Caenorhabditis elegans: one gene and its partners. The protein of the gene in region 1 interacts with the protein of each later gene in a pairwise test. Each region holds a gene or a part of one and is shown in the gene's direction. Other genes may lie near its edges.

Region 1 (10,755 bases):
TAGGAGTTTTTTAGTTATATCGTTTTCCGAAAAGTGGTTAAGACTATTTCAAAATTGGTATTCAAGTATCAGTGGATCGTACTCAGTGTACATGAGTGATGATCAAGGATGTTGTAAATTTTTACTTTGTTTGTTGACAAATACTCATATAATCCAAATTTATTGATTTTTTAATTTACATGTTTTCATCGCCTTCTTATGCTCATTGCGTAACAATCGCTCTTTGAATATCTGATCTATAATAATAATGAGACATGCAAGTTTTACTGACATACAACAACTGAGTATATGTAGGTGTTTGCCCGAGAGAGTTCTGGAAACACGGAAAGAATATCGAATGTCTGATGTCCAGAATAGGAACCATATTTCCGTTACACGCCTTTTTGTTTCTTTCCTCGTAATCTCTGTAATCTTTATTCTTTTTATTCACTCATTCATTTGCAACTTAGAACCAAGAGAATTCAAAGTCAAATATTGCCGCCTACTCAAGTAGTTTACAAGTTATCGAATTTCAAACTCTCTTACCTGAATATTTTCACTTTACTCACTTTTTTTCGTTTCGTCATTTTCGAATATTTGAATTTTCCAAATTCCAGGACACTCAAAAATGAGCCATGCAAGTATGGTAATATCGGCATGCGCTTTTAATAGAAGTATTGCAACGCATATTTTGTACATCGTCCCCGAGATAATGTGTTCATTGTCTGGAATATTGTCAGTGGCAATAATAGTATATTCGTTCTTTCTATATGGGTTTAGACTGCTGTTCCATTATAATGCCAAGGTAACGTTCACAATATAACAGCATTTTGAAAGCAAAAAAAATAACAACAAAGAGTCATTGAATTAATTTTCAATTTCAGATTCTCATGATTCTGCTCACGATCTTTATCCTTATTTTTTCATTGGATATCGTCTATGTTTGCACACGACAAATATACCTTGCATTCAGTTATGAAAATGATTGTGATTTAGTTTTTGAAACAGCGTCTTGTTCCATATTCAGAAGAATTGCATTGTGAGTTACTACTGTAAAGGTTGAAGTAGTTTTTTTTACTTTAGAACATGTTTCGTTGGAGTCACTACAACTCAGTTCTGTCAAATGTTCGAGCGTCTAATTGCTACAGTAGCAAAAGAGAAATATGAATTTCAAACCCAATGGCTTGGTGGTTTATTGGTTTTTTTTTCAGTGAGTTTATTTTTCATAGTTTAAAATTCAAAATTTCTGAAGTTTACGTGTATGTACCATAAATTTTCGATACAATTTCTCAATAAATAGGTTTCCCGTTTTTTTTTTCCAGATTCTCTCCGCAATTCTTGCAATTGAATGGACTTTGTGGAATGAAGATCCATTGGAGCCCATGACCCATTGCCTTGTATACTCTACATCTGCATCAATTGGAGAAAGAATGTATATCGTGTTCCTGGGAATACTTGTTGTTGACATTTTTATATTGGCCGTTTTTCTAGCTTTATACCAAAATAACAAACGAAAAATATTGTAAGTAATGTAAATGTGAAATAATCAACTACATATATCTTTGATCAGATCCTCCGGGCTTAACAAAAAGTATCAGCAACATGAGAACTTGGTAGTGTTAAGAGCTCTCTTTCCAATGGTCTTGTTGAATACTGTCTTTGTTTCTGCCTATATTTTAATTGCCATGGTAGTAAGAGCATTCCGAGACTCTCTTAGTCTCACAAATTATAAATTTATCGCGATTAACACATTTGTAAGTTATTACTATCTGGTAAAGCATTTCAAAATTGAGATTTCAGATATTTCCTTACGTGTCATTGCTACTTTCTATGACAATTTTGGTGACCACCAGGAACGAGTTCCAGAGAAGACAACTCCGAGAGCTGAACCAAAATGGGAAAGGAGTATCGCAAACTTATTTCAATCTATATCAGCGGCAATGGAGCGTTATTTCCGAGAGAAAATGAATTTATCATAAATATTTTGTGACTAGAAATTGTGTGAATAATGTAAATTCGGGTCATCGTTTTTTTTTAATTGTATAAATTTAATTAATGAATATATATTTTTTTAATTTCTTATTCTGCATATTTTATATAAAAAGTGTTCTATTATTTGTTGGATTGTTGTTTTTAGGGCTATTAAATAGGGCATTTTCTCAATTTTTATATCATAGAGCGCGTATATGGATTTGTTTTTTTTTTTGTTGAAAAAAAAGAAAAACTAAAGCTGTTCTTTAAAATAATTTAAATAGGTATGTATGTATTTGAATATGTGGTTGAATAAAAGCAACAAATACGTGGTTTTGTAGCAATTTTCAGAAAATAGCTAAGCCAGAATACTTCCGTTGTTACATCTTGTCCTATAATCATTTTCAAACAAATTGTTCAGTTTTGTGGGTTCGGTTAAAAGATATAACATGATAAGGTTTCGATCTGATATGATCGGAACACGTTTTCTGTTTTCACTTTTTCAATCACAGACGACTATGTCTGCCATCCTCTTGTCTTACTCTAACATCATTTGAAAAATCTTAAATTGATTAGGTTTTTTGTGGAATTTTAAAGATAGCTTAGTATTGAAATTTTTTTGAATGTTACAATTGGAGTGGCATGGATTCATTGAGATGGGTTCCACCGCAAAAATAATGTTTATACCTACTTCAAATTTTTTGGGGATATTCTTTAAAACTTCTAAAAAGGGAAACGAGCAGTCGAAAAATAAGAAAAAATGCAAAAAATTATAGTTTTGTTTCTAAAAAATTGAAATGTATTTGATATCAAATTTGATAAATATGCTATTATAATGAGTTTTACCGGCATTTCGAAGTTTTCCTTCCTTGAATTTAGTTACTTTCCAAATTTACATCATAAATCTCTTTCTTATAAAATAAAAATTCATCTCTACACAAAACAATGTTCAAAAGAGCATCAAAAAGAGCACTTTGTTCGTGAGATGTGAAGAGAAAGGGTCAACACATGTTATTTATCACCGTAAGTCCGTTGAGGGGCCGCCACTATACGGGTTGAAAAGACGAGAGATACACCCCGCAAAAGAGACCCAGAGAGTGCGATGGAGCGCGTTTGCATTTCTTACTCAGTGTTCACCCGTTCTATCGATTCCATCGACAGTATTTTTAAACTCCACAGGGTTATTAATTACTAAAAATGTGTTATTTGAGAATTTATTGATTTTGAATTTTTCTCAATTTTTTTTGTTAAAAATTTATCGAATATGTTCACCGAATACAGTATTTTTTCAGAAAATGGAACCTGGTTCGGGTTCTCCGTTATCGGCTCGAGCGAAATTTCAATTCGAAGGTTCAAATAACGATGAGGTGAGGTTTTGTTTCCCACACATTCAAACTTGTGAAATTTTTTTTTAATTTAAAAAATAGTACATACTTAAATTACTTTTTGACAAAAGTATCATTCCACGAATTTTCAGCTAAGTTTCGACAAGGATGACATCATCACAATAACACAGCAGCAAGAAGGCGGATGGTGGGAAGGAACACATGAAGGAGTGACCGGATGGTTTCCGTGTGCCTATGTAACTCTCATCACAGAAAAAGGTAACTTGAATCGGAAAATTCGAGCTAATACCCACAAATTGCAGACAAACTCCAGCGATCTCGATCCGTCCCAAATGCAACTGCAAAAGGTATATCTCATGAAGATTTACTCGTTGAGACAATTCAAATTTAAAAATTCAGAAGTGGTATCCGTCGGAGCTCAACCAGATTATCGAGACCTTGTGCTCAAAAGTTATATTGAATCGGAAAAGGAGTACATGCAAAGCTTGCTCAAAACGTTGCAATCTCTATTGATTCCAATTGGGGCATCTAAAATGTGAGTTTTAAAATGTTTTTTTTAACTTTCAAAATGTGAATTTAATTCATTGCGGATTTTTCTTATTGCTTTTTTTGTTGATCAATCCAGATTCTAAAAATTGATAACTTGAAATTTGGAATGATGGGCACCTCTGCGCTATGAAAAAAAGTATCTTAAAAAGTGGGGCGAGTAGCTCACTGTTTCAAAATACAGTCACAGGTCCCATTTTTCAAAAAAAAATTGAGTCTAGCTAAAGCTTTAAAAAAGTATACCTAAATTATTACCTAAATTATTCATATTTATTTACAATTTACTTTGAGATTTACATTGAGAAAAACATCAAGTTCCATTGCATTTCCGGTGGATTTTCATTTTTGGGTACGACAATAATACATTTTTGACAATTTTCAGCTTGACGGCTCCAGAATACTGTACGTTGGTTGGGAATTTCGAAGTAATTTACACTCTGAAACGTGATCTTTTTGAACAACTGGAGCGTGAGCAAAAGTGAGTTTTAATTTCTCCAACCTTCTTCAACTTTCTTATTTCAGTGAGGAGCTTCCAAAAATGAGAGTCGGTGGAATGTTCATGAATGCTGCTCTTGAGCTCAGAACGGCACTAATGAGTTATGCTGACAATCATCCAGACGCTGTCGAAGTTCTCAAGAAGAAACAGTAAGTTTTGACAGAGCTAGAGAATGTATCGAATGTATTGTTTCGCGTTTTCAGGAAGGAGTTGGAAAAGGTGGTAAAGTCGCAGGATCGGGAGTACAAGGAATTGGTGTTAGGACTCAGTGAGCCACTCCGGCACGTCGAGAGGTACTACAACTTGCTCCAGGAGCTTGAGCGAATTGTTCCGGTGAGTATTTGAATCTAAATGAGAAAAAAAAACATAGGTCAATCGATTCATTAAACTCTGGAATTTTTTTTCATAGAGAAAGCACAGTTGTTTAATTAAAATACATCATTTTTGTGAAAATTTTATTATGATAATTTTTTTATGTTAAATTATCAAGTCTACTCATGTGAACAAACGTTGTTAATGCATAATAATTTTTATATCATTTTGAGTCAATGAGATCATCATCAAAAAAATTTTCAGGCGAATCATCCGGACCGTGGAGATTTACAACGTGGATCGGCAGTTTTTCGGGAAACAAAGGTGCGTTGTTTTAAAAATATTAGAAACACAAATCTAACTGACTCACAAGAATTAGGATCAACAAGTTTTAAAATCAAACTATTTTTAGGATTTGTGTGAAACCCTTCGTAAGCAGAAAGAAGCCCAACTCGACTTCTTGTTTGTGTCAAAAGTGGACAAGGTGGTTTCAGCGTCAGAACGAGGATCTATTCTCTATGTGGGTGTTGCAAATGTGGAATACAAGAAAGCGGATGCAGTGGATCGGTGAGTTGCCGAAAATTTTACCTGTTCAAATTTAGAAGTGATTTCAGATTCGTGGCATTGTTCACTAAATACATTATGTTTTTCGAAGTCACCAAGGATATGACATACGACATTAAGGAGAAGTTTACAGTGTCCGGTTTTATTGTTCGGAAAAAGGAAGCTACTGAAATTTCATTTGGTAAAATATTCGGATAAAAAATTAAAATTAAAAAAAAAAACAAATTAGTAACCCAAGTTTTTCTAGATCGCCCCAACACTGGAGAATTCACTCTAACGATGGTTTCAACCGGGGGTGAGGTGGAGAGATTCCTTGTTGCTTTGGCGAAAGCTGAAAACGTGGCAATCATCACTCCGACGACAACTATCTTGAGGAGACCTTCCAAAAATGCTAACGATACAATGAATCAATCACAGACTCAAGGAGCAGAGACTCCTCTGGTCGCAAAACCCCCACTTCATCCCCCAGGAAACTCGGATCAACAGTATAGTATGATGAACAAAAGAAAAAGCTCGAAGAAGTGAGTGTTTTCATGTTAACCGTGTAAAATTGGAATGAACAGACAATTATCAAAAATGTCTTCGCAACGTTTAACCCTCAATTATTTTCGATTAAGTTATATTTCTTTTCGCCGCCCGGTTAGCTCAGTCGGTAGAGCACCAGACTCTTAATCTGGTTCTCGCGGGTTCGAGCCCCGCATTGGGCTTAGTTTTTTGTTCGTTGCGATTGGTTTTCCTATTACAAGTATTTAAAGAAATTCCATGATTTGCCAAATTTTGAGATTAAATTCGTGATACCAGTTTGTATTATTCTCAAAACTTCAAAAGTAGTACCAAAACGGAAAAAAATTAAAAAAAATTTTTTTTGAATATTAAACACTGTATTGAAAAAAAACAGCGTGGCGTTTATGCACAGATTTAAAAAAACATAATTTTTGAAATCTGTTCAAACACGCTACGCAGTTTTTTCTCAGTGAAAGTGTACATACCACATACCGAGACGAACAAGTGGCGTCAATCACATTACTGTCCTTGAAAAACGTGACATATTTCTATTTGAAAGGTCGCACCACATCTACTTTTGCCGCCCGGTTAGCTCAGTCGGTAGAGCACCAGACTCTTAATCTGGTTGTCGCGGGTTCGAGCCCCGCATTGGGCTTACGCTTTTGTCTATCTCAAATGATCATTAAAAAAACTTTACTATAAAATTTACTCACTTTTCTAAATTGGGGTGCGAAGTTTCTAGGTGGAATATTTTTTCAACATTAAAGGAATTTTCTTATTAAATCCTATACACTTTTTGAAAGTATCGCTATTCAATTAATTTTCAATGTCGCGAGAAATCAATTTTGCCGGTTTGTTTATTTTAACAGTGTTGGCAACGACCGACGACCTAACAAATTTCAACACACTATTACACTAAAAAGTGCGAGACACTTCCTGACAGCCACAAAGTGCGCCTGACATTTTCACTTTTTAAATTACACGCGCCTCGGTTCCTATCGCCGCCCGGTTAGCTCAGTCGGTAGAGCACCAGACTCTTAATCTGGTTGTCGCGGGTTCGAGCCCCGCATTGGGCTTACCTTTTTTTGCATTTGTCCTCTAGACAAATGTATGCAAAAAGATATTGCAAATACGATTTTGATGGGATGGGATAGAGTATGAAGCGAAAAATTTGATGTAAATTACTACTTAGATTAATTGGTATTTATGTATTAGATGGACAAATCTCTTCTCACCAAAAATCTCTATGTTTTTCGATCCCTCGATTTTGGATAACAAGACTTGGCAACATTAACGCTCACCAATTTAGGCAACACAAGAAATTGTGTGTTCTTCACGGATCAAAACACGAAGACTTTCTAACTGTCGCATGTGAAATTTCGGACTCAATAGATCACGAAGAATAGTTCGTAACAGATACAATGGCTATTGAGATAGGAGAAATTAGGGTGAAAAGTTTTTTGTGTGGACAATATAAAAAATAATGATAAAAAACAAATAAAACATGGAACGAGACCTAAATTTTGAAATTTTCAGCTTTGATGACAGTTTAAACTTGGGAAATATGAAGTTCGATCATGAACTCGGAATGGTGCTCCCTGAAGGATTTGAGCTGCCAACAAGCAGTCGCAATTCAAGGAATACTGCAGGTAGGAGATATTTTGTTATTTATTGTTTTCTCTGTCGTGATTATGATTATCAACTAACAAAAATCTTTTTCAGATAACCTGCAATTCTCCCAGTTCCCATCGTTTTTCCTAAGCGGGAACGCCGGCAAACGAGGTGATCGTAACATTCGACTTCGAAAAGACGCGGCTCGTGATGAGGAGATTGAGTTTGAGACACTTCGAATTTTGGAAGGATACTGTGTGGAAACTGGTGGCGGACAGTCGGACTTCCATGCAAATGAAAGTTATCAACAACCACATTTGATTGTTGCAGAAGATGAGAAGATTCTGATGGAGGAGATGATTGGAGATGAAGTTGTTTTGCAAGAGAAGTAAGTTTTTTTTTGAACGATGAGACCTTAGAAGAGTCCAGTTCAGTTTTTCTAGGGTCAAGATTGTACACAATTTGTAAAAAAATTTAACCTTTTCGTTTCCTCTTCTCTTGCTGAATCATAGATATTAGGGTGGCGTATATGAAAAAATTGGGTGGGAAAATAACGGACGAATAGGAAAATCGATAATTGATTGATAAGAAAAACTAACTTCAGCAAACCTGAAATATCTAGAAACTTTGCAAAATTGGAATCCCCCCCCCCCCCCAAATTGATGTTTTTTTAGTAAAGAAGTTGATTTTTCTAAGGTTCTTTTAAAATTTCTGTTTTTTTTTTTCAAATATGTCCAGTGTTGATTCCCAAGTAGAGTAATTTGGGCACGTGGCTCAGCTTTGAACAATTTTTTAGTTCTCAATTCAAAACCGGCCAAAACGTTTTCCACTGTGTATTTAAAACTGAATGAGTTCTCAACTGATTTCGCATGGTTAAGAACGTGCTGACGTCACATTTTTAGCAACAAAAATCCCCCATATTTTGTAGATCAAACCGTAATCGGACAGCCTTGCACAACGTGCCAATAGTGATATTCCTAACAAGGCCCTTCATTTCGAAGCCAAAAAGAGATCAAACATTTACTTTCTGTAAAAATATAATTTTTGATCACCAGTAAATAATGATTGTTTTCATCTAGTCATGTTTGCTTCTTCTTTTTCTTCTTTTGTCTGTTTTGCATATCGTCCATTTTCAGTTATTATTTTTCGTACTGCTTTTAAAGAAAAGTAATAAGCTGACAAGGAAAAACAAGTATCCCCAAAGATAACAAGATGAAGAGGGGATAATTTTTGTAGAGACAATTTTTTGTAGTTTCCTTGTTTACTGATATTATTTGGTATTATAGTATTATAGCCGTTCATCGGAAATTGTTGTCTGATGAAAAACAGGACGTGAGTTGTTTTTTAGATAACTTTCAGTAGGATAGCTTGTTTTGTCATGTTTTCGACCTTTTTCGACCTTTAAGTGAAAACCATAACAATCTTTATTTCAAATTTCCCTTCACAAGTGTGTAATTTAAATAAATTTATAAGCTATTCTTCAACGAACATAAAAAGATTCGTGCATTTAGAAAACATTTCAAATTTATCTTTAAAACTTTATGTACATCGAACTTAGTTAGACATCGTCTATAAATCTGTCATTTTCATTCGTCGTACTCCTTGAGCACATCGGATGTATTTAGTTTGAACTTGAATAAGTGACCAGTATTTCCCAATGGTCAATTCGCTCTTGCTCCAACGACAATATCTATTCCTCCGACTTGCTCTCTCTTCGTCTATCTAGATTTCCGTTTCATTGCTCATTTGTCACCTCTTCTTTTTTTTTCAGAAGTATTGTGGATGCTGTGTACGCCATCAAAGATCAACTTTCGTTCCTTCAGACCGAATTTCAAAAACTAGCAAAAGTGAGTGAAAAATTCTTCTCTTCTGGTCTGTCACATCTAGCACCAATAATTTCATTTTTCCAGGTTGTTGAATCCGAACAAAAAGCACGCCGTCGTCTGGAGCACAATTTGCCAAAAATGTCTGGGGTGATCTCGCCAGATGGGAGTTCCAGTACTCCAAGAAAGGAGATCAACTCGTTTGACTTGTAAACTAGTTGAAAGCGTTTTCTCGAATGAGTGAGAGCGCTAGAAATTACAAAAAAGTCATTGCAATTAACCTGTTGGTGCGGTGCTAAAAAGCATTTTCAACACCTAATTATCAATTAGTTTAAAGTTTGATTCTAGTAACGTTCATTTAAAACTTTGTTTTCTTTGTTTTCTTAAGTTCATCGTCAAAGTTATGCCAGTAGAATGATCGAAAGCGTTGAAATATTATCATTAAATGGTTGACTTTTGTGATTATTGACTTAACTTTTTATACTCAATCAAATCAGTAAATATAAAAAAGGACAGTCCAAATTATCCTTGGAAGTACGGGAAGCTTGACTGAAACCAAAAAAAAAACAATTTTCGCATATTTTTTTTTTGAATTTTCAAGTTAGCTGGTTTGTCATTTAAATTTTTAATTTGAACATCGGAAGCCATGCAAATGTTTATGTCAGGCTAAAAAGACTGAAAAATTGAAAATTGCCAAAAGTAGCTTCACTAGGAAAATCTGTTTTTGTTGTTTTTTCAAGCTAATATCCTCACAGAACTCATCTAGAGACTTGATTTTTTTTATTTACCAGATGGACTAAAAATCAAATGTCCAATTACAAGTTTATATTTTCCTACTTAATTCTATTTAATTTAATTATTTGAACCCATATCAAACATTATTTCCTTCTCCGTCTTCCTTTCGCACTCCCAGAAAATACCAACAACCACGACCTCTTCCTTCTCGACTTTATTACTCCTCTATTTCTCCAACTTTTCTCGACCTATGTGCCTTGACTCGACCACCTCTTTCGTGTTTTTTTTTTCACAAATCAATGTTGTTTTTTGCCTGATTTCCGATTTCTTAGCATTTATATATTTTTCCAAAACAGAAATCGTTTGGTGTTGTGTAACTTTCACACTTTCTTTGTATTTTGTTTCTCACTTTTTTCTCTATTTCTTATTTTACATTTTTCTGAATAAAACAATATTTAATTATATATTTAAGGCAAGTTAGTCTTTAAGAACCTTTTTTTGTTAGAAGCAAGGCGAAAATTCTAGTTTTTGAGTCTTTTTTGAACTGATATGATCAGCATTCAAAAGTTGCCTAGGCTTTGCTGAAAGCTTGACTTATGTCAAAAAAAAATCAAAGCTGTATCAAATTTCTATATTTTTTCAATGTTAAAATTAGGGCTCCCATGAGGTGGCCGCAACGGCGCATCCGCTGGTCTCAGCGATCGCCGCGCAAGCTACTCATTTCACGCCAAGCTGCGAAACACCGAACGTGTCGGCTGCTCCAAATAACTAGGTTTGCACCAGGGGTGTGCGGCAAATGGAAAAAATTGCCGAGCTCGGCAAATCGGCAATTGCTGGTTTTTCAAAATTTGCCGAGCTCGGCAAATTC
Region 2 (5,990 bases), on another chromosome or scaffold:
CAGATGGATCCATTTCATCCAAATCTCCAGCCAATGCCGCTTTGATCTCCTCCAACGTATTGATTTTTGCGAGACAAGACGCCTGAATAATTAGATTTTCAGACGTTTTTCGAGATTTTTTTCGGATTTTTGCTACCTTCAAATTCTCCAGCTGATACTTCTTGGCGACTTTAAGCTTCTCCTTCGTGGATTTTTCAGATGAATCGACAAGAAATTCCTCACATCTTTTAATCGGAAACGGCATATCGTACAAGTGAGCCAAGTGCAGAATTCCGTCCACTGTTTCCTCTGAAATTTTTAAAATTCTAATTTTTGCGGATTTATTTTATAAAAATATTTCGAATTTCTCACCATCAATAGCATATTCTCCATACCGAACTTCCATGAGATTCTGAAAATCGGTGGAATTGATGTCCTGGAGTTTGACTTCTGATTTGTCAGCTTCTGCAAAATTTCCGAGCAGCAGAGTCTCGAAATATGTAGAGTGGGAAGCCAGGAACTGAAAAAAAAATCAATAATTGATTGATAAAAAAATTGAGAACATACTTTTCGGAGAACGAAGAACTTTTTATCTCCAACTGCCAAAATCACATCTGAAAATTCTTCATTCGATCTCTCGAAGCTTTTGAGCTTTTTCTTCGGAATTCCAGACATATTCTTGATTTTAACAGCAACTTCAATGATGATGACGTCATCGATTAGATAATCCTTCAGCAATGAGTCCCACTCGAAAACATCGCAAAATCCAAGTGCATCATATGAATTCCAAATGTCACTTCCGGTTTTTGTCACAGATTTTCCCGAAGAATTAGAGAGTTTCAAGGTAAATTCAGAGTCGATTTTCCAGGGAGCTTGCTCATTTTTTGGGTGCAGATACCGGAGAAATACAGCCACGTCTTCTTTTTGGTGAATGAGAACTATTCGCCTGCAATATTAAACGTAAGAGTGAAATTACAATTCATTTTCTAGCTTGCCATTGAACATTGAAATGTTCTTCTTCAGGACCATAAAAAGTATTTCCATCTTCCAGCTTCGACACATCTTTGAAAACATGGGAGAGCTCAAATTCTCTTTTGACAGCGACCATTTCCCAATGTGCCGCTGAAAATAATTATTTTTGAATTTTCTGCAAAAAATACGATGAACTACGTTTAAATGCGAAGAAAAAACAACAACAAAACCCCAAAAAACTAATTGCGCGTCAATTAATGTGCATTGTGTGCAATGTGAACTTTTTCGCTTACCGTAGTTTGGAAATTTTTGTTCTTCGATTTATTGATTTTTTCGAAACTCTTGCCCATATTTACTTGTTTTTTCTCATTTTTTATCGAAATTTAAATGAAACAAATTAGTTTAAGTGCTATATTTTTTTTATTCAACAGAATAAGTTCAAAACTTCCCGAAGATCAAATTTCTGTGGATTGTTACTCTTTTTTCACTGTTTTTTGTTGCAATACTCTCAATAAATTCAACTTTTCCAGCTAAAACCATGCTGCTCTCCGTCAAAACGTCGACTGGAAAAACCATCACAGTGGAGGCGCCGAAAAATGTGAAAACTGAAGTTCGCGACAAACAGGGAGTCGTTTTCACAGTCTCTTACGGTATTTATCGATTTTTTTTTTGGTTTTTATTTCAATATATGTTTATTTTTTCAGGAGAAGTAACCGGAGATCCAATCACTGTTGAAGCATCGGACGCCATCAAGGATCTTAATTTCAAGGTTGCCGAGGCTCAGCGAAAACCGCATCGTGAAGGAATGCGAATTTACGTTAAAACTTGTGAAAAAACGATCACTCTTGACACTGCTGCCTCCGATACCATTGCAAGTGTTAAGGCTAAAATCTAGGAAAAACGAGGTTTTCCATCAAATCTGCAGAAACTATATTTGGGTTAGTACTTTGAAACTGATAGCTTGTCTAATTTCTTTAGTTTTTACAGAACCTTCCAACATTGTTTTGTGCAAGGATCAACGTACTATTTCTGACTACAACATCAAAAACGGCAGTACTCTCCGTTTGGAAGTTCCTGTAAAAGAAAAACTGACGGTTTCTGTGAAAACCTTATTCGGAAAGACGATTCCTATTTCAATCAAGAATACGGATACTGTTGAGACATTGAAGTTCAAGGTTCAGAATAAACACGGTGTTCCACCAGATCAGCAGCGTCTCATTTTCGGTCGGGCACAGCTCGAGAATGACCGTGCTCTGTTCGCCTATAACATTCGTGATGAGGATATTATCCATTTAGTCTCCAGACATCGGTTGTGAAGTTCTCAATTTGATTGCTCTTAATCTGTTGTTTTGTTACTTTTTTGTTTTTTATTGTTGATAAATGTTGAAGGTTTTTTTTTTAATTTTTAAATTAAAAACACTGTCTCAAAATATTACAGGTACCATATTTATGATATATGAGGGTTTTTTTCCAGTAAATTCTTCTGTGTTCTGAATTTCCGACTTAAACATTTTATTTCGATGGTTCAGAAAATTGGTTTTTCAGGTTTTTGGATACTTCAGGCTGATATTTTGAAATACTCGAATTTAATTCAATTTAGCATTATTCAACCCGCTAGAATTTCTGTTGGCACATGTTTCTTCAATTAGAATTTCTATTATTTAAAAAACCACAAAGAATTTAATAAAAAATCAGCGAAACTACGGTAGACGAGGAAGTAGGCAGTTGCACACGATACACATTAAATAATTGACTTTTCCGTTTTTCTTGATTCAGTACTCGAAATGTTTTCATCGAAAACTTAGAAAAAAGTTTTTTAATATAAATGAAATTTCAATAAAATTTGCGCGTCAATTAAAGTGTTCTTTGTGCATTGTGAACTTTTTTTGCTTACCGTAGTTTTGCAATATTTGTTTTTCGATTTATTGACTTTTTCAACGCAATTCTTCTTTATAGCTTGCTTTTTGCCCGTAATTCATCAAAATCTTGATAATAATATTTATTAATTCATTCTATTCATATTTTTAAGAAAAATCATTTCGAAATTATCCAAAAACCAGATTTCTCCCTTGTTTGCTTCTTTTTTCACCGTTGTCCTCGTTTTTCTGTTGCAAAACTCTCAATAATATTTAATTTATAAATTTTTCCAGCTAAAATCATGCTGCTCTCCATCAAAACGTCGACTGGAAAAAACATCACAGTGGAAGCGCCGAAAAGTGTGAAAACTGAAGTTCGCGACAAACAGGGAGTCGTTTTCACTGTCTCTTACGGTATTTATTGTTTTTTTCTGGGTTTTGCATTAAAAAAATCATTTTCAGACAAAGGTACCGGAAATCAAATCATTGAAATGGAGGACACTGTCCAAGATGTCAAAATTCAAGAGGCTCAGCAAGCACCGCTTCGTGAATCAGAAGAAGTGACCGAAGATCCCATCAGTGTCGAATCATCGGAGGTCATCGGAAATCTGAATGTCAAGGTTGCCGAGACTCAGCAAGAACTGCATCATGAAGGAATCCGAATTTACGTTGAGAACGCTGGAAGAACATGCACACTTGACACTTCCGCCTCCGATACCATGGCAAGTGTCAAGGCTAAAATTTGGGAAAAACTAAGAATCCTCCCAAATACGCAAAAACTATTATTGGGTTTGTACTTTAAATATTGAAAGATATGTCTAATTTCTTTAATTTTTACAGAAAACTGGGACCTAGATTTGTTTAGCGATCATAGCACTCTTTTTGACAACAGTTTCGAAAACGGCAGTACTCTTCGTTTGGAAGTTTCTATAGAAAAAGAAATTGACGTTTTTGTGAAAACCTATACCGGAAAGACAATCACCATTTCAATCTAGAATACGGATACTGTTGAGACCTTGAAGCTCAAGATTCAGGATAAGGAAGGTATTCCACCAGATCAACAGCGTCTTATTTATCAAGGATCGCAGCTCGAGGATGACCGTACTTTGATTGCCTATAACATCTATAATGAGGCTACTCTCCGTTTAATTCTCAGACTTCGTGGATGAAGTTCTCAATTTGAATATTGTTAATTTGTTACTTGTTATTTTGTTACTGTTCTGTTTATTTTTGTTGATGAATGTTGAAAAAGTTTAGATTTTTTTGAAATTAAAAATATGGTTTTTAAACAGCCGGTATATTTCTTTGTGTTCTGAATTTCCAACGTAAAGAATCTTTTTCAGTGATTCAGAAAGTGTGCTTTTCAGGTTTTTCGTTAATTTCTGTATTTCTCTATCATAGAATACATTTCAACTCACAAGAATTTTCGTTAAAAACCACAAAAAAATTAATAAAAAATCGGCAAAACTATGGTAGACGAGAAAGTACGCTGTTGCGCACAATGCATGTTAATTGACGCGCAAACAGTTTTTTGTAATATTTTTTTCCTGTTTTGCTTGATTCAGTACTTGAAATGTTTCTTTTCAAATATTATAATAGTTTTTTTTAAAATTTTCTGCAAAAAATGCTGAAATTCTAATAAAACCAAAAAAAAACTCAAAAAACGGCATGCGCGTCAATTCATGCGCATTGTGTTCATTGTGAACTTTTACGCTTACCGTAGTTTGTCGAGATTTGTTTTTCGATTTATTGATTTTTTCGAAACTCTTGCCCATATTAACTTGCTCTTTCTCGCTATTTATCGAAATTTGAATGAAAAAAATTAATTTAGGTGCATTATCATTTTTTATTTAACAAAATAAGTTCAACAACTACTGAAAATCCAATTTCTGTCGATTGTTATTCTTTTTTCACTATTTTTGTCAAATTAAAAAGTTCTTTCTGCGTCTTTTTTGTTTAAATGCTCTCAATTAGGTTTAATCTATCAACTTTTTCAGATAAAATCATGCTGCTCTCCATCAAAACGTCGACTGGAAAGACCATCACAGTGGAAGCGCCGAAAAGTGTGAAAACTGAAGTTCGCTACAAACAGGGAGTCGTTTTTGCAGTCTCTTACGGTATTTATCGTTTTTTTTTCCTGGTTTTTGCATTAAAAATAATAATTTTCAGACAAAGATGCCGGAAATCAAATCATTGAAATGGAGGACACTGTCCAAGATGTCAAAATTCAAGAGGCTCAGCAAGCACCGCTTCGTGAATCAGAAGAAGTGACCGGAGATCCCATCAAAGTCGAAGCATCGGACACCAACAGAAATGAAGAAAACCCCGATTTGGCTGGGCCACCCGCGGAGCCAGTTATTCGTGGCACTGCCGCCTCCGGTAGAATTGTAAATGTTAGGCTTGCGGGAAAAAGAATCGTCCAACCGAATAGGCGTTTCACATCATATTTGCCTTCGTCCGCCGTGAGACGTGGTTGGTTTTACAATTGATTATTTGTCTAATTTACCCATAATATTTTTTTTTCAGTAGCATCGCCCTATCAGATTCGGCGGGTTTCAGTCGATGGAAATTTCAACGTTTTTGTGAAAAACTCAACCGGAGGAAAGACTACCGCTGTTTCAATCAAGAATACGGATACAATTGGTACCTTGAAGCTCAAGGTTCAGGAGAAGGAAGGCATTCCACCAAATCAGCAGCGTCTTCTCTTCAAGGGATCGGAGCTTATGGATTATCGTACTGTGGCGCATTGTGGACTTCGTCAAGGCACAAGTCTCGATCTTGTTAGACTTGATGCATGAAATTTTTCGATCGATACTCTTTAATTTTTTAAACTGTATTTGTTTTATTCCTGTTTTGTTTCTTTAATGAACGCTTAATAATTTTTTTAGACGTAAAAATCTATTTTCAGTGATTCAGGCAGATGGGTTTTTAGGTTTTTCTCTAGAATATTCTTTTATTCGCAAGGATTTACTCGAAACTGCTCCAATAAATAAGTTTTTCCAGAAAATCCACTAAAAATTTAGCTTCTTCAGTTCCAAGCGATATCTGAGTGATCCACTGCGAATTTTGTACAGATTTTTGTCGAAATTAGAAAGAAATTTATTAAATTGAGTTTTCCATGCTTTTTTTCCAAGAAAATCGAGTTTTTGCAGCGAATTTTCATTAAAATTTCGATAAAATCAA
Region 3 (6,823 bases), on another chromosome or scaffold:
GTAACATGGAGAAGCAACCTGGCCGAATTTACCATTTGTACCAGAAGCAAGGAAGCATGAACAAATATTTCTCTATGTTGGCTCCTAACGAGTGGGGATACCAAGAGAAGAAAGAAGAATATCTTGGATCATATCGGTTGGAATATGACAGAAGCTGGACTCCTGTAGGAGAAATGGATCGTAAAGACGAAGAAGTCGCTCGTCTTCAGCAACTTCTTCAACGGGAAGGACCGGTCGCCTTACGTGGGAATCCTAATTTTTAAGAAGCATATGTAACATTCGTAAAAACGCATAGATTTTCAATTCAATTCCAATAACCGGGTTGTTTCTTGTGTGCCTGATACTTTCATGAATATTGTGATAATTCGAAATTATTTGTTATCTTATAGGTTACCACCCTACTCTTAATTTTTTATCTGGAAAAATCACACTACTCATTCTGTGAAATAATTTTGTAGATGAGTTTAACAACAATTATTTTTGACAATGGTGGCCATAATATGAAGATAGGTACGATAGACTCAGAGTCCCCTAGGTTTGTTTCTAATAAGAAAAATATCAATATAATTTAAATATTTTCAGATTAGTTCCAAACAGTATTGTGAAAGCGAAACATGAAAAGAAGCGGGTTTTTGTTGCACACGAGCAAGAAGAATGTTCGGACAAGTTTTCGCTATTCTATGTGCGACCAATTGAAAGAGGATATGTGGTGAATTGGGATACACAACAGCAAATCTGGGAGAAAACGTTCGGATCTATGGATGTGGAGGCGTCTACTTCTCGAATTGCACTCACAGATAATAACTATCTAATCCCAGCTCTTCCTGATGTCTCTAGTGAAATATTGTTTGATTATTTCGGCTTCACAGAGGTACACAAAACGTCTGCTTCGACTTTGGTGGCAAAACATTCAAATAAAATCAACAACGAAAAGTGTGCAGTTGTTGTGGATTCCGGGTTTTCATGGACTACGGTAGCTTCATTTGTGAATGGAATGCTTATTCAGGATAGTGTTATAAGGTTGGAAAGTGTTTTCAAACTACAATTAGCTTTATTTTTAAGGATCGATGTTGGTGGAAAAGCGTTAACAAATAAATTGAAGGACTGGGTATCTTACCGACAATTGAATGTTAGCGAAGAAACATACGTTATCAACGAATGTAAAGAGGATCTTTGCTTCGTCTCACAAAATTTTGATGAGAGCATGAAAGAGGCTAGGTAGGTATAAAAATGAAGAATACTAATTATATTGTTTTTATTCAGGAATCGATTTCAAGAAAATACAACAATGAAACGATATATTATGCCGGATTTCCACTCGACATTCCGAGGTGTAGTGAAAGACGTTAAAGAGCCACACGATCCACAAATTCCTTCAATTCATTTGGGAGTTGAGAGATTCGCCATTCCGGAAATCTTATTCAAGTTAGTAATTTCGGCAAAAAGTATAAACTATTTTATCTGTTGCAGTCCCTCGGATATTGATATTGATCAATGTGGTGTCGCAGAAGCTGTTATCGAGAGTATTTGTCAATGTCCAGAAGCATTACGGCCTGCTCTGGCAGAAAATATCATCGTGATTGGCGGATCGTCGTGCTTCCCAGGATTTCGTGAACGCCTGGAACGAGAAGTTCGATCAATGCTGCCAGCAGAATATGGATTGAATGTTTCAAATGACGTAATAAACCCACAAACTCATTCCTGGCATTGTGGTCAAGAGCTTCTCACTGCTTCTAAAGTTCCATGGATCAACCGAAAAGATTGGGACGAACGAGGAGACTCGTTGGAGTTCTCTAACTTTTTCCAGACTCTTGTGCAATCCGATGAACTGAAGGGAACTCGTAATTTCGATGATCAGAGGGAGAAATCCCCAAAGGAAGATGAAGATTTCTGAACTGATCTCTTATCACTTTAAAATAAACATGTTTTATATATATATATGCCAAAATATTTTTTTTTGAGATCAGAGGTTTATTTTCCTTTGTTGGACTTATTTTTTTTCATGTGCTGTTCATTTTTTAAAAATCAATATTTCAGATGTCAGCAGGGCCGATAGTGGAAAGAAACCAAGATGCAACAATTTACGTTGGTGGATTAGACGAGAAGGTGTCAGAGTCCATCCTATGGGAACTTATGGTACAAGCAGGACCTGTTGTCAGTGTCAATATGCCGAAAGATCGAGTAACTGCCAATCATCAAGGTTTCGGATTTGTGGAGTTCATGGGAGAAGAAGATGCAGATTATGCAATCAAAATTTTAAACATGATCAAATTATACGGAAAGCCAATTAAAGTAAGCTATCAAATATGTTTAGTTTATTATTTAAAAAAATAATATTCAGGTGAACAAAGCATCGGCTCATGAAAAGAATATGGATGTTGGTGCAAATATTTTTGTTGGAAATCTGGATCCAGAAGTCGATGAGAAATTGCTATACGATACGTTCAGTGCTTTTGGAGTTATTCTTCAAGTTCCAAAAATCATGAGAGATGTTGATTCGGGAACGTCTAAAGGATTCGCGTTCATCAACTTCGCTTCATTCGAAGCTTCAGATACAGCATTAGAAGCTATGAACGGCCAATTTCTTTGCAATCGAGCTATCACCGTCTCATACGCTTTCAAGAGAGATTCAAAAGGAGAAAGACACGGAACAGCAGCGGAGCGTATGCTGGCTGCACAAAATCCACTGTTTCCAAAAGACCGGCCACATCAAGTATTTTCTGACGTTCCACTTGGTGTTCCAGCTAACACACCTTTGGCCATGCCAGGAGTTCATGCTGCTATTGCTGCTCATGCAACAGGACGCCCAGGCTATCAACCACCACCATTGATGGGAATGGCTCAATCTGGATATCAAGGACAATATCCACCAGTACCACCACCTCCACCAAGTGTGACACCAATGCCACCTCCAATGCCGCCAACGCCAGGAATGACTCCTCGTCCACCACCACCACCATCATCTGGAATGTGGCCGCCACCACCACCGCCTCCACCAGGAAGAACTCCAGGACCACCAGGTATGCCTGGTATGCCTCCACCACCACCACCATCACGATTTGGTCCTCCAGGAATGGGTGGAATGCCGCCGCCACCTCCACCAGGGATGAGGTATATATTTTTGTTCTAAGTTGAAAATATCGTTCATGTTCACCGTTCGAACTTACACAATTTTTCTTTTCAGATATCCGGGAGGCATGCCGCCACCACCACCGCCGCGATATCCTTCTGCTGGACCAGGAATGTATCCACCTCCACCACCAAGTCGTCCTCCAGCACCACCATCTGGTCATGGAATGATCCCACCTCCACCACCTCCATCATAATTACTCGATCGGATTGGAATACCTTAATCTTTATTTTCAGAAACTTTTGTTTTTCACGAAAAGATCTTCATTTCAGCTGTTCTAAACTTTTACATTTTAAATTATTTCGTTTTATTCTCATTCCATAAACCAATTTCTATTTGATGTCAATTCAACTTCAATCATATTCCACAACCATCATCTCCTCCTCTCTCTTATCAATCTCATCACAATCACACCTTTCTTTTCCAATTACCACTTCGATACGTCAAGTCACGTTCTTCAGCGGTTTTTTGTTGCATTTTAATGTTCTCACACAATCTGTACGCCTTTTTCCACTATTTAAGACATCATTGATGTTCGCTGGAGCGGCAAATCCTATGAACTATAGGCAAGTTCAACGCCTAATAGAGACGTAGAGTGTAAGTGAGGTTTCCGGGAGAATTCGTCTCGCACCTTCCTCTCATTGATTCTATCAACGAACGGAACGAGTTAAACTAAAAAAAAAAGTGTAGAGAAATAGAGAAAGAAGGGGAGAGAAAGAACATGGACAATGACTGTATTCAACCGGAGGACACACCAAAACTAATTAGTCACCCGAAAACATCACCTACAATCATCACATTGCTTCTTCGCACTTTTTCCAGAAATATTATTCCAGTATCATTTTGATTTTCTCCAATTCAGTGTTTTTGTGTTGTAGAATTTTCAGTTTATTATTTTTGGAGTTCCGAGAGTATCTTCAGTTCAAATTTTGCACATTTATCTCCTTATTTAAATGAAATTGCTACTACATTCCTAGAATTTATGAACAAATGGAATAATTTTTATTAGGAATTTCTCGAATTATGATTCATTCTTCCATTTTCCATTCATAACAATCGTTCGTTTTTCTTGCATTTGAAATTTCATTCGTCAGTAAAAATTCTACAAAACAACATTGTTTCAAATAACCTGTTATTTATATAATTTTTAGGATGAGTTTATGAGCTCTAGAGGAAGAAACCAACTTTGCCCGTTTCCAATTATATAATTACAGTACTCAACTTTTCCAATTGTTCGTCATATACATATTTCCACACCAGAACTCATTTATATATATTTTGCAACGCATCAATGTTTAGCTTTCAAAAATTTTATGATCTAGAGAAGTTAAAAAATCACAAAATGTCGTAGTTAAAAATTGAGGACGTTTTATATACTGTTACAAAGTGTTACAAAGTAGCAATAATTCAGTTTTCATGTACTTCTTATAATTTTGGAAGTTCACTAAAAAAAAGTTACACGAGTTTTATGTTCAATCTATATCTTAACTATTCTTATTTGAACACTGTAGGCTCAAAATTTCAATTTTTCTGACAGTCTGGCATTTTGCCAAATCTCTGACTAAATATTTTGGAAAATCCACAATGCCGTGTTTTATTCAGATATATTGTCTTATTGACCTGCTGTGACTATATTTTGACAAAACTCTTGAGTTTCTAATTATACTAATGATTAGTGGTAACCCTACATATGTTATCTGAAAACCCCACTGATTCTGTAAAACGAATGTCCTTTTGATAGGTATTTCTTTTTGTTTCTGATACAATATTATATTATACTAGGGAGAGAGACTTAGACTGCCAAAAAATATTCCTTATCATTATAAACCTTTGTGCCTTGATTGCCTTCGAGCAAAAAAAACCGCCGACACTTAATGATTGACACTTATTCGCCTAATCTGTTCAATTCGTTTCACTTTCTTGCAACTTTTCATTGCCTTCCTGCTGCTTACTTTAAAACTTACAGATCAAAATGGGTAACATGCGGAGGCTGTTGATCTTTGCTGTTCTAGTAATATGTAAGGATAAATAATTACATTTTTAATAAAGAAAAATTACAAAAAGATCAAGGAAATTTGAACTGTTCATTACGATTACAGTAGATTAGAAACTTTCTCGGATGTTTCATGTTTCTTTTGTTGTGTATTTTGGATTTTGAACCATTTTATTTTATCTTAATTTTATGTTTAACTAGTCAGATATTCCATTAATTATATTCAAAAAAAAAACAGAGTGGCATAATTAATTAAATTCATGTTAACGATTAAAATGTTTATATTTACAGTAACCGTCATATCCAATTCAAAATCGAGTTACAAATATGATGGTTCATTGTTCTCAAGTAAAGAATTGGATTATGATGAGACAGACACTAAAGCAATGGGATCCGTTTTTTCAAGATATATGTCAGATTCCGATGCTCAGCTAATTCTTGATCTCGACTTTTTCCGTCATTTTTTCAATTACGCAGAAGCTTATAGAGATGGAGCTGAAGAGGGAAATCTTGAATTAATGAAGTATGCTGTTGAAATGGTTGAAAAATTAAAATCATTTGATATATCAATGGGTTAGTTTATAATGACTATATCTTTAACAAAAAACATTTAGCTTGCGTTGGAGACATGATGCACTTGGCATGGACTGGAGTAGAATATGCAACTCATGTTGAAGAGCATAAAAACTGCTCAGATTGCAAATGTACACCACTTTTCCAACAAAAGAAAAGTGAACGTCACTGGATTTTTAATGTTTTTGATGCAATGGGAAAGGTTCCAGCTGGTATTATGAGTGGAAATAACTTATGGGTGGGCTCATGGAGCACTTGTAGAAAGATTGACGTTGTCAAGAATGCTCAAGGGTTAGTTTGATTAGATGTAAAAAATAATTAAATGCGATTACAGACAAAAGTGGAAAGGTCAATATTGTTTGGCAACAATTGATGCATATGAGAGAGACAATCCACTAGTTTATTTTGGAAATATGATGTCTGGACCACCAGATAAACATTGCTAGTGAGTTAGAGGGACTACAAACTACCTATATAAGCACAATCATTAGCAACAAACTATGAAATAAGAAATAAAACAATAATTTGGAAATTTGGCAACTCTGGCATGAGATTTCAAAGTTGAGCTGAATGATACACTTCAGACGTAAATGGTTGACTTTGTTCGAATAAAAAATCAGTAACTTTGAACGTTTATCAAAATAAACAAATTTAGTGATAAGACGGTCAAAAATGTAACTGATGATGGCTTCTGTTTTGCTCTTTTCCCAGTTCTCAAGTTTGGAGTATGTATGCCAAATACATGTACAAATCACGATGTGAAACAAATGTTATCATTTGGTAAGTTCATATTGTTTTCTTCAAAGTGTAATTATTAGTGTTTTAGCAATCAGAGCAACAGAAGGAGCAGTAGGAACAAAATCAGTTTGTAATGTAGACGTGGAATGTCGTGCAGAATCATATTCAGATGCAATGAGTGAAAATGGACTTGCAATGTTTGCACTGTATGAATTTTATATTATTGTAGCTAGTTAACACATTAACATTCAGATATCTTCTTATCGCTACCGTAGTTCTTGTTACATTTGGAACTTTATATGATCTATTCATAGTCTCCAAAGCACCTCAAGACGAAAAGAATAGTTCAGCGTTTAATCGTAAGATCTTCTCATTTCGAACTTTGGTTT
Region 4 (7,649 bases), on another chromosome or scaffold:
TGGCCTTCCTCATTGAATTTGTCGCGCTCCATTGACAATCGCCTGCCGGACAACGCGTGGAAAAGTGTCGTGTACTCCACACGAACAAATACATTTTGTTTTACAACTAAACTCGAGCCGCGACGCGACACGCAACGCGCCGTAAATCTACCGAGCCAAAATGGCCTAGTTCGGCGAACTCTTCCGTGTCAATTTATGAGGGAAGCCAGAAATCCGTGTACTTTTTCAGTTCAAAAATCCGCAAAATTAGTTTTTTTTCTCTCAACTTTTGAGTTTACTCGGACTTTGTGCTGTCTTTCCGAAAATCCATTCAAGGGGGTCCTCTCCCTTTCCAAAAGCTCTCCGGAGCTCATGGAAAAAGGAGCATCTCACGAGAAAAGGATAGCTGGCATACGGGACGGAGAGCCCTCCCCGCGAAAACTTTTTTCTTTTTTTGCTGTGCCATTCCACTCGTCGTTTTTCGAGTAGTTTTCACCATTCCATTTTTCTCTCTGCTACTCTCATTTCTCCACTTCCTCTCTCTCTCTCTCTCTCTCTCTCTCTCTCTCTCTCTCTCTCTCTCTCTCTCTCTCTCTCTCTCTCTCTCTCTCTCTCTCTCAATCGCGTCTCATCTCATAACAGATAGCCGTGTAGACTTCTGCTACAACTACTACTATTTTTACTCGCCCTGTAGTATATGTAGTAGTTTTGATGAATATTTTTTCCAGAATTTTTTAGACGGACGCAAAAATTAATATTGAATACCTATCTAAAATTTTTAATTTTCGGTCAAAAAGCCTGAAACACGGATAGGATATAAACTAACTCAAAAATTTTTTAAATAAGAAAAAACATAAATTTTTGTATACGTTACTTATTGTTGCACGAACGGTCTCACACAGCGGAACGCGGAAACTCTGTATTACGGGAATACTAAATTCTGAGAATGCGTATCTTGCAACATATTTGACGCGCAAAATATCTCGTAGCGAAAACTACAGTAATACTTTAAATGACTACTGTATAGCGCTTGTGTCGATTTACGGGATCTCGTTTTACGAGAATAATTCTTCTCGAGTCGATTTGCGGGCTTCCTCGAATTTTGGCAGCAATTTTCAATTTTCTGTGGGTTTTTGTGCTCTTACCCTTTAGTGGAAAATTAAATTCTGCTGCCAAGATTGAATATTTTCTAAAAATGTTATCCCGTAAATCGACACTGACGTTTCTACAGCACACGTGGGGCCATGCTATCCCATCACGTTTTGATCTACAAAAAATGCGGGAATTTTCGCCCGAAAAATGTGACGTCAGCACGTTCTTAACCATGCAAAATCAGTTGAGAACTCTGCGTCTCTTCTCCCGCATTTTTTGTAGATCTACGTAGATCACACCGAAATGAGACACTCTGACACCACGTGACAACACGATTTTCGCGTAAAATGTGTTGTACAATACGCATTCTCAGTTTCAGACTAATGGGGCCATTTTTCGATGTATCGTTTTTTGTTTCAGGGGGGGGGGGGGGGGGGGGGGGGAAATCAAGAAATCGGAAAAAAAAAGTTCAGAAAATTGAATTTTTTCAACAAATTGAATTTTTGTTCATGTCGATGAAAAAACAAAAAAACAAAAATTTTAAGATACTTTTTGAAAAATCAAAACATTTTTCTACATAGCTGAAAAACGAAATTATAGGGGTTTTCAACTCAAAACTTCCTGGGCTTTTTCGGCCATTTCGTGTCTTCGTGCGCCTTTAAACTACAGTGTTTTTTTCAAACTTAAAAATTTGAATAAATATATTGCCCACGCAAATGTATATTGAACACACTGCATGTTTGCACTTTGTTCGTCATACAGAAAGTGAGACGACGACGACAATGAGTCATTCACTTTTTTATGACAATTCGAAATCTAATCTCTTGTGTCTCGAAGCGATTTCCTTAGAAGTTTTAATTTAAGAAACTACCTTTTATTGTTGTTTAAAAAACCATGATCCCCCCCCCGTGCAACTCGTTTCCGGAAACGGTCTCCATCAGCCTGTGTTTCGTCACTCTCACCCCTTCCCCATTTTTTGTTCCCACTCGGAAACTCTTTCTCTCTCTCGGGTTTCTCACTGTAACGATGGCCGGCACAACAGACAATGAATTTTGATATTTTTGTGTTTTCTGTTTGCACAGTTATTAGAGCATTTTCCATTTTTTTCGCGGGGTTTTCACAGTTTTTTTTGTTTGAAAATTAAAACAAAAATCATGAGTTCAATCAAAAATAATTATTTAGTTTTTCAATTATAAACGAATTTGGCAAATTTTTACAATGTTTTCCATTGATGGGCAATATTTTTTTAATGAAAAAAACCTACAAAAATACCAAAAATTTGAATCAAAAAAGTAATTTTTGATTCATTGCACACTTTTGAGCTCAAAGCAAAAACAGCACTTTTTTTTTCAAAAATTTTACCAAATTTTGAAAATAATTTTTTACGGATTTTTAGGTGTCAAAAAGTGTTTGAAAAAACCAAAATTTCTCAATTTTTGAAAAAAAATTGTTCAAAAAATATATTTTTTCGATTTTCAGAAATTTCTTTTTAAAAAAATCGATATCACACTTTGCTGAAAAAATATTTGCAAAATCTGTAAAAAAAAAATACAAAAAAACTTTTTTAAAACAAAATTTTTCCCAATTCTAGAAAAAAATCATTAATTCCGACCAACGAAAAATCGATAATTTTTCGATTTTTTTTCAAATAATTCCAAAAAAAATTTCTCGATTATCCTAAAAATCTTAAAAATCGATTTTTTTTAAATTGATTTTTTTAAAAATTTTCTAAAAAAAAATTTCCCGCTTTTTGAAAAAAATTCAAAAATTCTTTAACAAATGTTTTCTCCGATTTTCTGAAATTTTGAAAAAAAAACTAGATTTCTCGAAAAATAGCTTCAAATTTGTCCATTTTCCTCTTTTTTCCTCTTTTTAGAGATCAAAATGAACAAAATTTAATAAAAAGTTTAAACGATTTTTCCAAGGTTTTCCAGAAAATCGAAAATTCAATTTTCTGAAAAATCGATTTTTTCCCCTCCCCGAACATTTTTCCCTATAAATCTCGTTCTTTTTTTCGTCATAAAAAATGCATATTTTTCTGTTTTTTCCCTTCTCACATTCTCATTTTTCAGCCAAACCTCCACCAAAAAACTTCAAAATTTTTGCCGTTGCATTTCGAATGCGTGAAACACTGACCGATTGCTGTTGCTGCTGCTGTTGACAAGACACAAAATCTGCCGTAAAAGTGCACTTTTTTGAGCAAAAAGAGCAAAAGGAGATTAGATTGCACTTTTTTGAGCCAGAATGAGGTAATAATGACTATGGAGATGGGGAACTTTTTATGGGAAAATTTGAAAAAAAATTGAAAAAAAAAACCAAAAAATTGGCCTAAAAATTGCAAAAGTTCGGCCACGAGCTTGTGTCGATTTACGCAGCTCGTGTACTTCCCGAGGAAAAGTGTGAATTTTATGTTTTAGGCCAGTTTTTGGCGCTAAAATACTTGATTTTTGACCATTTTCGCTAAATTTTGATCGTTTTCACGTATTTTCGTTGTTTTCAGCATAAAATTATAAAAATTTTGAACAAAATACTATGAGTTATTGATAAAATCGCGAATTGAGTGTAAAAAAAATTTTCAAAAATCGATATTCTCCTCGTGGAGTACACGAGCTCCGTAAATCGACACAGAGGAGCATTTTTTTTCAGAAAAAAATTTGCATGCTCCTCGGGGAGTACACGAGTTATAAAATTTATTTGCCAATTTTTTCGTGCTGGGACCTAATAGGAATGCTCCTTTGAATGCAGACAATTGAAAAAAAACTGTTTTTAGCAGAATTCCCTTCAAAATGAAACCAACGACCAATCAGCGATTCGCACCGCCCACTTTCTAACCAATCAGTAGCTACAAGCATTCTGATTGGTTCAAAAGTGGGCGGAGCGGTTCGCTGATTGGTCGCTGTTCTCATTTTGAAGGGAATTCAGTTTGAGACTATTTTGGGGTTTTTTGAAGCGAAATTTTCATTCACGCTACTCTCCGCACGGATTTCTGGCTTCCCTCATAAATTGAAATGGAAGAGTTTTCCGAACTAGGCCATTTTGGCTCGGCCATATCTGGGGTAGATTTACGGCGCGTTGCGTGTCTCGTTGCGGCTCGATTTTAGTTGTAAAGCTAAATGTATTTGTCCGTGTGGAGTACACGACACTTTTCCACGCGTTGTCCGGCGGACGATTGTCAATGTAGCGCGAAAAATTCAATGAGCAAGGCCAGAACCCCCGTGTCTCCGCGATCTACCACCCAGCAAAAATCCATTTTTTGACTGATTCACAGCGTCTGACTGTAATGTTGACACTGAAGCTCTCTAATGTTTTTTTTGTGTGTGTGTGAGGTGATGCTGTGTGTTCCTATTTGCACAAATACCTAGTGTCCAGCAGAAGGAAGAGAACTGGATGAGCAGTGAAAAGAGCCCGTGCCAATTGCTGCCACTTATCATGTCCGGCTCGACCTCCGAGAGAGGGACGAGACTAAAATTAAATGAAATGAGAAACAATAAAAATTGAGTGGAAATTTAGAGAGTGATTGGATTTTTTTTGTAAAGTGGTGTAGTCGATTTTTTTTTATTGCTTTATTAGACTCAAATGTTTGTTTGAAAACACCGATTTTTTAAATGAAACTTCTTGAAAACTTCTCCAAAAAAAAAGTTATGACCGCTCGAAAAATGACCTAAAATTAGTTGAAATTTGAAATTTGAAAAATGCCGCAGCGGCTGGAAACAATATTTTGGAAAACTCCCGACTTTATTATACCTAAATGAAGTTGAAAATGCAAGATAATTGAATTGCATACTCAAAATTTGAAGGTGATTTCGAAAAAGTTAGTTTCCAGTCGCTGTGACAAGTCAAATTTCGAATTTCAACTAATTTTAGGTCACTTTTCAAGCCGCCATAACTTTTTTTTGAGAAGTTTCATTATAAAATTCGGTGTTTTCAAACAATTTTGAGTCTAATAAAGCAATAACAAATTTCGTCTGCAACACCACCTTTAATCAGATACCATTATTTAAAGTTTCGAAAATCTAGTAGGTTCGCATATATAAGTGGTCGGTTCTATTACATCTGAAAGAGCTCAAAATTCGCAACTTGTGCAAAAAGTTGATCCGAACCTTTTTTAAAAGATGACAAAAATCTCATTTTTTACCTTCTTCAATTTCGCCAACTTTCGAATTATCGAAAATATTCTCAAATTCCCTGAGAATGTCATATTATTAAATTGCGAGTGAAAAAAGTTACAATTCCACAAAAACCGCATTTACTATGATGATAGAAATTACTTTTTCACACTTTTTACCTCGATATTAGTCGAATTGCCAAACATTTTCGATTTCCGGCCACCGAAAAAAAACCAACTTTTTCTTGTCATTTTTGAAACAAGTATATTTTGAAAAAATGATTTTTAGTGCAATCATATTACATGTGCACGAAATTCGGAGAATGCGTAGTTTTTGTGTCGATATACGAGCTCGGTTCGATAAATCAATTAGTTTCGAGCCCGTAAATCGACACAAGCGCTACAGTAGTAATTAAAAAAATTACTGTGGTTTTCGGTACGAGATTTTTTGCGCGTCAAATATGTTGTGTAATACGCATTCTCAGAACTTAGTTTCATTTTTTCCCACCAAAAAATTCAAATTTTCCAGTAGCGAAGCATGTATCGCGACGGCAATGGCCCGAGTGATGACCTACAACGAATCGACAAAAGGATGGGTACTACTCGGCGGAAATGATGATTCAATGACAAATGTTCGCCTAATCCAAGACATTCGGCGACCCGAGTTTCGGATTGTATCCAACCGCGCTGACAGCACGAATATCTTGAATTGTAATATTTATCGAGGAATCAAATATCACAAGGCCACACCAATGTTTCATCAATGGCGTACCGAACAGCGGCGGGTGTATGGGCTGAATTTCGAGAATGAACAGGATGCGACAATGTTTTTAAGCATTGTGTTACAGGCGATTGAGACGTTGAAAGTTCATGATATGAATGGAATTAGTGATTATCAACAGATGCATCGTGCGTTTTTCAAATATAGCTTTCACACGACAAAAATCCCAAGATATAAAAAAACCTAACCAGAGATAAAAATCGAAAATAAAAAATTATCGATTTTCCGGAAAAACGAAGCATCATAACATTGTATAAAATTTATGTTTAGTTTTCATCAGAAACACATCAGAAAACGTATAATTTTTTTGCTCATTTTTCTACAATTTTTAATTTTCCGACACTACTTGAATAACCCCATAAATTATCAAAAAATCATCAAAAATATACAAAAAATACCCAAAAATATCGAAACTGTCAAGTGACTTTTTCAATAGAAAATGGGGTGCAGCACTATTTTTTGGACATTTTTTGAATGCAGCACTATTAGAGACTGCAGTACTACTGGATATGCAGCACTATTAGAGAATATACGGTATATATTTATTTATTTATTTATTTATGGTCTCCAAAAAACAAAAAGTTCTCTGTTTTTCTCTGAAAGTTCACAAAAAACTTATTTGTTATTAATTTTCAAAGATAACTTTCAAAATTCTATATAAAAACGATTTTTAAACTAATATTTTCAGTGTTTTTTTTTTGGGTTTTCTGAAAATTAAAAAAAAAAATTTATTACGATTATAAAATTAGGATCTGTAATTCGAAGAAATTCCTAAGAAATGTTTTTTTTGAAAAATTTCAAAATTTCACTTTTTTTTTTTGGAAAATGGTTAAAAAAATTTCGTAGCTTAGAGAAAAAAAAAATTAAAATCTGAAAAAATTAAAAAAATAAAATAAAATAAGAAGCTGTTTTTTCAAAACAACAAAAAACACTTTTGTTTGAAATATGCTAATGGATCCATTTTTTTCAATTCAAAAATTATTGATTTCTGAACCACTATTTTTAATCTAATACTTTCACATGTTCTTGTAAATTACCCAGAAAAAAAAATCAATGATCATTTTTCTCCTATTTAGCAATCTGTCCCCGATCCTCAAGTTAAGTAGCTTTTCGCGGCTCACGATGACTCATTGAGCATGGTCTTATAGTCAAAAAAAAACAGATTTCTCACTTTTATATATTCCTACTTAAAATATGAATTTTTGGTGTTGTCCGTCTAAAAACGACGTCGAAATGTCTGGAGAAAGGCGTAAGAAATTCTGAAAAATTAAAAATTTTAAATTGATATTACTGGAAGAGAGAGAATTCTGAGAATGCTCTTATTTCACGTCATATTTGACGCGAAAAATATCTCGTAGTGAAAACTACAGTAATCCTTCAAAATGACTACTGTAGCAATTGTGTCGATTTACGAACCTGATTTTCGAAATTAATTAAATTTATTTATTCATCTATTGAAATTAAGCAAAAATTCGGAAATAATATGAAGAAATGAATCACTATTCGAAAAGCCCATTATATCGACACTAACGCTACATTAGTCATTTTAAGGATTACTGTAGTTTTCGCTACGAGATATTTTGCGCGTCAAATATGATGTGTAATACGCATTCTCACAATTTTGTGTTCCCGTGATAAACAACTTGAAAAAACATTTTTCACGAGGAATCTCAATTCGTTTTCAATTTTGGA

What was found.
Region 2: the proteins of pix-1 (region 1) and F52C6.3 interact in a two-hybrid assay, tested with the Caenorhabditis elegans proteins (one large-scale study listed by BioGRID).
Region 3: the proteins of pix-1 (region 1) and sap-49 interact in a two-hybrid assay, tested with the Caenorhabditis elegans proteins (one large-scale study listed by BioGRID).
Region 4: the proteins of pix-1 (region 1) and unc-34 interact in a two-hybrid assay, tested with the Caenorhabditis elegans proteins (one large-scale study listed by BioGRID).

The regions. Positions count from the first base shown.
Region 1 is NC_003284.9:13,724,057-13,734,811, forward strand, and holds pix-1 (SH3 domain-containing protein), read left to right. Parts: upstream 1-3,236; 5' UTR 3,237-3,245; coding exon 3,246-3,317; intron 3,318-3,427; coding exon 3,428-3,554; intron 3,555-3,598; coding exon 3,599-3,643; intron 3,644-3,695; coding exon 3,696-3,831; intron 3,832-4,224; coding exon 4,225-4,320; intron 4,321-4,364; coding exon 4,365-4,487; intron 4,488-4,541; coding exon 4,542-4,671; intron 4,672-4,914; coding exon 4,915-4,974; intron 4,975-5,062; coding exon 5,063-5,217; intron 5,218-5,264; coding exon 5,265-5,395; intron 5,396-5,461; coding exon 5,462-5,735; coding exon of another isoform or gene 5,736-5,739; intron 5,740-5,841; exon of another isoform or gene 5,842-5,930; intron 5,931-6,294; exon of another isoform or gene 6,295-6,384; intron 6,385-6,701; exon of another isoform or gene 6,702-6,811; intron 6,812-7,254; coding exon 7,255-7,367; intron 7,368-7,440; coding exon 7,441-7,717; intron 7,718-9,100; coding exon 9,101-9,176; intron 9,177-9,239; coding exon 9,240-9,365; 3' UTR 9,366-10,351; downstream 10,352-10,755. Other genes in the region: K11E4.6 (G_PROTEIN_RECEP_F1_2 domain-containing protein), read left to right, coding at 608-784, 864-1,018, 1,063-1,189, 1,302-1,501, 1,550-1,733, 1,780-1,947.
Region 2 is NC_003280.10:1,921,658-1,927,647, forward strand, and holds F52C6.3 (Ubiquitin-like domain-containing protein), read left to right. Parts: upstream 1-3,101; 5' UTR 3,102-3,109; coding exon 3,110-3,221; intron 3,222-3,269; coding exon 3,270-3,596; intron 3,597-3,647; coding exon 3,648-3,802; 3' UTR 3,803-4,063; downstream 4,064-5,990. Other genes in the region: bath-2 (BTB domain-containing protein), read right to left, coding at 1-82, 137-288, 352-499, 547-925, 975-1,087; F52C6.4 (Ubiquitin-like domain-containing protein), read left to right, coding at 1,490-1,601, 1,656-1,846; F52C6.2 (Ubiquitin-like domain-containing protein), read left to right, coding at 4,813-4,924, 4,977-5,279, 5,334-5,605.
Region 3 is NC_003280.10:8,030,982-8,037,804, reverse strand, and holds sap-49 (Splicing factor 3B subunit 4), read left to right. Parts: upstream 1-2,037; coding exon 2,038-2,292; intron 2,293-2,341; coding exon 2,342-3,111; intron 3,112-3,184; coding exon 3,185-3,326; 3' UTR 3,327-3,555; downstream 3,556-6,823. Other genes in the region: C08B11.9 (uncharacterized protein), read left to right, coding at 1-263; arp-6 (Actin-like protein C08B11.6), read left to right, coding at 459-535, 583-1,020, 1,063-1,218, 1,264-1,425, 1,471-1,894; nrf-6 (Nose resistant to fluoxetine protein 6), read left to right, coding at 5,103-5,148, 5,415-5,696, 5,738-5,987, 6,031-6,141, 6,352-6,476, 6,523-6,640, 6,687-6,793. UniProt on the Caenorhabditis elegans protein: Subunit of the splicing factor SF3B required for 'A' complex assembly formed by the stable binding of U2 snRNP to the branchpoint sequence (BPS) in pre-mRNA.
Region 4 is NC_003283.11:979,391-987,039, forward strand, and holds the start of unc-34 (WH1 domain-containing protein), read left to right. Parts: upstream 1-3,315; coding exon 3,316-3,320; intron 3,321-3,420; exon of another isoform or gene 3,421-3,516; intron 3,517-5,705; coding exon 5,706-6,085; intron 6,086-7,649.